2 linked regions of the Arabidopsis thaliana genome follow. The protein of the gene in region 1 purifies or fractionates together with the protein of each later gene. This does not show direct contact. Each region holds a gene or a part of one and is shown in the gene's direction. Other genes may lie near its edges.

The links. Proteins that work in one complex are often made in the same cells at the same time.
Region 2: the proteins of ALPHA-SNAP1 (region 1) and PLAT1 fractionate together in Arabidopsis thaliana (co-fractionation; one large-scale study listed by BioGRID). This does not show direct contact.

The regions. Positions count from the first base shown.
Region 1 is NC_003074.8:20,928,557-20,932,314, forward strand, and holds the start of ALPHA-SNAP1 (alpha-soluble NSF attachment protein 1), read left to right. Parts: upstream 1-2,000; coding exon 2,001-2,409; intron 2,410-2,703; coding exon 2,704-2,804; intron 2,805-3,254; coding exon 3,255-3,406; intron 3,407-3,427; exon of another isoform or gene 3,428-3,645; coding exon 3,646-3,758. Other genes in the region: ATG18D (autophagy 18 D-like protein), read left to right, coding at 1-25, 151-241.
Region 2 is NC_003075.7:18,430,630-18,434,342, forward strand, and holds PLAT1 (Lipase/lipooxygenase, PLAT/LH2 family protein), read left to right. Parts: upstream 1-2,029; 5' UTR 2,030-2,320; coding exon 2,321-2,389; intron 2,390-2,475; coding exon 2,476-2,952; 3' UTR 2,953-3,124; downstream 3,125-3,713. Other genes in the region: AT4G39720 (VQ motif-containing protein), read right to left, coding at 1-235. UniProt on the Arabidopsis thaliana protein: Positive regulator of abiotic stress tolerance involved in the regulation of plant growth. May be a downstream target of the abscisic acid (ABA) signaling pathway.

The DNA.
Region 1 (3,758 bases):
TTGCAATTATTGGCTTGGACGGAAGGTAGCTAATCTCTCTGAATGTATATTCACATCATCCACAAGTATTATATGCTTCCATCACACTAGTCAGAATAGCAAAAACATAAAATAACCAACAACCACACATATGATTTATCGGCCTTACAGTTTCTACAGGTGCAATTTCGATCCAGTGAACGGAGGAGAGATGACTCAGCTTGAACATTTCCATTTTCTGAAGCAAGATAGCCCGAGATAGTCAGACCACGTGCTTGGTTTGAGTTTTATGTACATAACAATTGGCTCTGTATATAGATTTGGTGAAACCGCATACGATTTTATTCTTCCAAGCTTTACTTGATTGAAGGAAAATGTATTCTTGATTGGAACAATGTATATACAAAAAGGATTTTTTTTTGGTTATAACACTAATTTCTACAGAGAATCAAACTGCAATTCGATTACGTTTATTAAAATTTCAAATCAGAATGTTGATTATAGGACAGATATAACAAATGCAAGATGGTTCAGCTTACATGGTCATTTCAAGGTTACAGAACCGGATTTCTCCATTTAATTTAAAGACTTATACATTTAATTATTAATATTTAGTAACTTTAATTTTATAGAGACAATATAGAAAATTATGCAATGGAGATGCTTTAAAAGTATTAGGTGCCAGAGTTAAAAAAAAAAAAAAAGTATTAGGTGCCTTGTCGTCACCAGATTCCATTGGATTTTACGACTTTTTGTTAAACTCACAAGTCGCTAGCTTGTGGTTTAAGCAATCTTTTTTTTTTTATATAAAATTTACATATATTAAAAATTTTATGTGGTTTTTTTTTACATAATAGTTAATGATGCATTAAATTTAAGCAATTTTAATGATGCATTGATTTTATTAATTCCCCTTGCTCAAAATACTTTCTATGGTGTGATTAACACAAATTATATTATTATTCTTTTAGAAATTTTTGCTTGTAAATGCTAGTTTTGATTGCATTATTATTCTTTTTTCTTTTACGTCATTTACGAGAATTTTCAATTTTGTTTTATCAAAAATTTCTAATTGAATATTTGATGTTGCACATAAACTGACCGTGATACATGTGCTTGTTCTGTATATAGATTTGTTGAAATAACACTAGAGTATGCTACCAATGTTACGGATCACGGTCTCCAAGCAATTGGTAAAGGATGCAAAGAATTAAAACATCTTGAAATACTAAACTGTCCTGTTAGTAAAACAGGTCTTATAGAAGCAGGCGAGAGCTCTTCTTCCATTAGATATCTTTACGCATCAGGTAATAAAGATGGAAAGGAAGGAGGAGTGCAATCTTTTGCACAAAATAATGATAATATATTTTCTTTTCATTTGTTGTTAAGATTCTCCGAGATCTTCTCGAGATCTTTTTTGGAAATACGATAAGATAGGCTGAATAATTCTTATTCTGAAATTTTTTGGTAATGCGAAACCTTTGTTTTATATGTTCAAGAAGAAAAGAAATATTAAGAATTTTTTTTTTGTTCAGTCACACAACTTTAGAACAAAATTATGTTAATAATTTTCTTCATTTTAAATCCAAAACTTCAAAAGTTAGAAAACATATGAAGTAAAATAAAATAAAATGTGCTAAGCTATAAATTGATTTTAGTTTACATAACAAATTCTAATTGAAACTTATTTTTTTATATCGTCAAAAAACAACAACTAAATTCTGAAAAAATATCAAAAACTCCAATTTGGAAAGTATAAATTACAAACTAACTTGTTTTATTTTATGTTTTAATATAATAGTTTAGTTGGTTTAATAATAGTAAGTGTTATTTTATTATTTTTTAAAAGGGAAGGGTTTAAAAACCCACCAAAAAATCCCTTAAATGGATGCTTAAAAATCTCTGGTCGCGGGCTTAGCCCCAGTAGACTAGTTAGATCACTGTGTGGTCTGGGCATTGAGTTATCAAAGAAAAAAAGGGAAGGGTTTAAAAACCCACCAAAAAAGTTGAGGGTTTTGTACATGTTTTTTGTAAAAGGTGAGGGTTTTTTTTACCCACTTTTCATAGAGCTGAGGAACTTGATAAGATATCAAACAACAAGAGTCTCCAACTCAAGCAGAGACTTCAATCTCTCACAACAACACTGCAGCTGTTTCAGGCCCAAAAGGAGACACGAAGCCCATCTCTCATTCATCGGAACTCTGCAATACTCAAAACAGAGAACCATCACGCGAGCCGCTTCAGCTACCATCGCTCGCCGCCAACTCTTGTTGTTGTTTGATATCACTTTCTCTTCTTCAAGCAGTTGCTACTACTTTCAGAAGAAAGCTGAGAAGAAGCTTAACAGACGGAGAAGATTCGACACTAAGTACGAGGATGCTGCTGATCTGCTCGAGAAAGCACGTGATTCCTATAAGCTTGCCAAATCATGTAATTTCCATAAATAATAATCAGCCGGCCTTGATTTTTGTTTCATCTGATTGATTTGTGATGATGATGAGGAAGAAAAGGTGAAACTTGAGACTTTTGATTGATCTTTGGTTTAGCAATTGTGGTGATCCTTCCATGGTGTTGTGAGAAGTTGATTTTAGGCCTCTTTGATATGTGGGAATTATAAATTGGATACTCAACATTTAGATTACTCGATAATGATGGTTTTTGGCCTTATAGTAAAGTCATTGATAAGTATCTTCTTGCTTATGTGTTTGATTTGTGATTCTTCAGGGGATCAAGCTGGAATAGCTTATCTAAAACTTGCCGATTGTCACTTAAAGGCAAATTCTTTGGCAAACACATATATGATAATGGACGAATGTATGGATCATGTAGCAACAGCTTTTTAGATTTTAATTGACATATATGTACTACAGGACTGATTATCAACTCTTGTGTGTTTTCCTTTCGCTATGCATGTTTATCGCGTCCAAATATAACCATGACCTTATTATATGCAGAGGCTGCATCTTGTCTAGAGAGAGCGGCGAATATATTTTGTGAGATAGATAGTAAGGCTCAACATGGCTGCAAGATATTACAATGTACTACATGTCTCTTTTGAGTATGAATTAGATACTGTTACTCTTTTAGTACGGATAGTGAGAAGATAGTTTTATTGAGGGGGAGGCACTTCTTCAGCATCTTCTCCATGGTTCGTGTTGTTTATGCATGTTGGATCCTGTCGGATTTGTTTCTTTTTTTCTACAGTATATATAGTAAGCTTGGTACTGACTTTCTGTATTTGTACTAATGTGTACATTGTCATTTACTTTTGACAGGAAATTGCTGAGTATTATGAATCTGATGAGATGTTCGAGCAAGCTATTGCTTACTATGAAACGGCAGCTGAATTCTTTCAAATAGAAGAAGTGACCACCTCTGCAAACCAGTGCAATCTAAAGGTTGCACAATATGCTTCCCAGCTAGAGCAGTAAGATTTTCGGCACCTGACCTTTTTTTGGCTTTCTCATCCTCTGGTATTGACGTACTTACAGTACTGAGATGGGACCATGTTAAAATCGAATTTTCAAACCACAAATTTGACATTGTTTGGAATAATGTTGTTGTTCTCTACACATGAGCACATGGATTATAGCCCCTTCTCTACTTTGGGGCGGATTGATTGATTGATAATAGGCTTGCTGTTGTATCTTTGATAGGTATGAGAAGGCAATCCAGATTTATGAAGACACAGGCACGCCATTCACTCAACAATAAGTTGCTTAAGTATGGAGTTAAAGGCCATCTTCTCACTGCTGGCATGTGCCACTTATGCAAAGCTG
Region 2 (3,713 bases), on another chromosome or scaffold:
AGAACGTGTTGTTGTTAAAGTAGTTTGGTGGTATTAGAGAGTTGTTGTTGTTATGGTCGAAATGGAGGAGGTTGCGATGGTTTTGTTGCGGCGTGGGTATAGATGACACGTGGTTGTTGTGGTGGTCGAAGAAGGCGGAAATGGATTGATCTGCGGCGCGTGAATCGTATTCTTCTTCTCCTCCTCCGCCACCGCCGCTTGAAGATTGCATGCTACTACTATTACCGGACTCCATCTCGTGACAAAGAAAAAAAGACTTTGACGAGAGAAAACGTAAGAAATTGATTTAGAGGTGAGAATGGATACTTGAGTTTAGGGAGCTATTGTTTGTTTAAGGAGTTTATGAGATAGGGTATCATGGTAAATAAGACATTTGGTGTGACATGATTTTTTAATAATTTTGTTTTGTTTTTGTGTGAAAGGGAGAAAAACAGGGAAGGTGAAATCGCATTAAGTGGTTCCACTACCACCATCCACTATTGTCTACTCTATATCCCAATATTATATACATGTATCTAAGGTTTAGTTTATATTAGATTTATTCCTTTTGGTGATAGTCAAAATTCACTTTGATTGTAGATATTTGGTTCGGCTAATGCTTTGTTTTGTTTCTCTACCACTGCAGGATGTTACGTTTACAAATCTTATGATGGTATTACTTTTACTTTTCCTGATAAATGGTACTTACTTTTCTTCGTGATTTGTGCGTATATTCATATCAAAATCAATTATGCGATAAAAATGTTAGAACAAGTTTTAATTTTCCGTGTGCACAAACAATCATTTAACTTCCTCTCGTTATTCTCTAAAGATATAGAATAATTTGAATAATCTACTAATCTCTTACATGATGACATAATTAGGTCAGTTAATTCGGACCAAATTCAATAATATATATCATAATTATTAGATGTCATCATATAGCTAGTTCCACCAAGATAAGTTTTTTAGCTGATTAATCTTTCTTTTCAATTGAATAATTTCGAAATCACCAATTTAAAAGATGCAACAAAGATATGTACATACTCATTTCTACTTATTTCACCCGATTAATTTGCAAGTGGAAATTAATGGTTTGAGTGTATATTTTGATAGAGATACTAGGTTTGGTCGGAAAATAAGAATCAATCATATAATATACTATTAATTATCAAGGAAAATTCAAAATTTATGGGCCCATTAACCAAAATGCCATAACCCTATTATCACTTTACCCATACGGCTTAGTTTTGTTTGGTTACCCACACTCATTTATAATTGTGTTTTTTTCGTTTTTTTTCTAAATATCAAAATTTCAGTTGACTTGTAAATTCGTATGAAATTGATTATCATTGCATTGCAAATAAGAAAAAGAAACATTTAGTAAAACCAACCACTACATTCGATTAACTATTATCACTATTAAATGTTTTGTTAGTGTTTGATAAAAAAAAAATTGCCGTGTTAGTAAAATTTTTTACGGGTGATCAATGATCATCATATAATTAACCAAAATAATGTAAGTCTACATAGTTTTAGTATTGAAGATCACAAGGATATCAAAAACTAAAGAATCATCACTCTCTATAATTTAGTAAGCTATGGGTTTGATCAAATTTCCAGCATGTAGTTTTTTTGCTACGTGTGCATTTTGTTATAACAAGATAAATATATAAATGGGCTTACGCTTCTTCTTTTTTGTGCAACAATGGGCTTACGCTTTATGCCCAATATTTACCTATACCAAGGCTCCATATAATTAGTATTTGTTATTTATAAGCCCACACACTTTTGAGAAGAAGATGTCTAAAAATGAAAATGCTGAGAAGAAGTAACAATTTGTTTTTACAAATATAAATTATACCTGGCCATAAAATAATAAAAATCTGACAGCAAATATATAAGCAAATAAAAATGGGAAGAATTACTTATTCTCAATATAAATTTGAATTATTCTTAATATAGACAAAACCATCAAAAATTTCGTAGTCATTAATAAGGAAAATTTCATACAATCCAGTGGACTATTTTTCTTGGTCCGTAAGCTGCCAGAGAGAGAGAGACTTAAAAGGATAATTTCGTAAATCTACCAACCCATCATATACCGACTCGCCGAGTAATCGCCAAGCCTCTCAAATTATCCATCTCAATTCTCACATCACAACAGATAAGAGTCAGCCACGTCAACATTACACGCTACTCCGAATAACACGTGATTATTACCCCAATTGTTAATTCCCAATAATAACCCTTCCCTCAAATAATATTCGCATCTATTAATACACCTCTGCAGAAAAAAAATCAGAGAAAAAATACAAATCGTTCACCGGAAAAAAACAAAATGGCTCGTCGCGATGTTCTCCTCCCTTTCCTCCTCCTTCTCGCCACCGTCTCCGCCGTAGCTTTCGCCGTAAACTTCCTCAATCTCTAACCACTCTCGATCAGATTTAGATTTTTCGATAATTTGACTTTTTCAGTTTCTGTTTGTTTATCTAGGAAGATGATCCAGACTGTGTATACACATTCTACCTCAGAACCGGATCGATCTGGAAAGCCGGAACCGATTCGATCATCAGCGCAAGAATCTACGATAAGGACGGTGACTACATCGGAATCAAAAACCTTCAAGCTTGGGCTGGATTAATGGGACCTGATTACAATTACTTCGAGAGGGGTAATCTCGACATTTTCAGTGGAAGAGCACCGTGTTTACCTAGTCCGATCTGTGCCTTAAACCTAACCTCCGATGGCTCCGGCGATCACCATGGTTGGTACGTTAATTACGTTGAGATCACGACGGCTGGTGTTCACGCACAGTGCTCGACGCAGGATTTTGAGATTGAGCAATGGCTCGCTACTGATACTTCTCCTTATGAGCTCACCGCCGTACGGAACAATTGTCCGGTCAAGCTTAGGGATAGTGTTAGTCGGGTCGGGTCTGAGATTCGGAAAAAGCTTTCTTGGGTCGTTTAAGTGATGTGTTGTGATTCGTGAGACTTGTCTGTATTGTTTGTATTCTCGTTGTTCTTGTGAGTGTAATGTGGCGTTAATGAAATATGATTCAATAAAATAAAACCTTTTTAGTTATTTTGCGAATTTTAACTCATGATTAGTGAATGATTTAGTAGATTAATCACAGGTTAGTTGAATCATTTGCTTTAGTAGATTAATCACAGGTTATGTAAATGTGAAACCAATCAATGAGAAGACTAGGACATGAAAATTGATTGAATGCATATAGGTGTCGGTATTAATAAGCGGAATAGAAATTTGAGTGGACCAAGTAATAATCCCTTGGGCCAAAAATGACGCCACGTCTGTATTCATTGAGAACTAACTCTTTGATATTTATATGATTTATTGTCCACATTGTATCTACTATACTTTTTGTAGGGTCAAAATCAAATCGTCTCTTGGTAGAGAAATATGGGAACACTCACTTCTTAAAGAATGTGATTTTTTTTTTTTTTTTGTTACGAATTCTATTAATAATATATGGTAGTATATTCTTGGACGTCAATTGGTTTTTGTAACAACATATGATAATTGTATACCTATGGTATGATTTTCTATTACTGTTTTGAAATTTTATTTAAGAAGTTAAATTCCATTTGGAATAACATATTGGGCTTACGACATGGCCGATAATCATATCTTCTCGCCGCCATTTTAAAAGCCCAATACGTTTTAAATGAAACTGAGTCCCACATCTGAAATTTAATAAACAGTTCTAA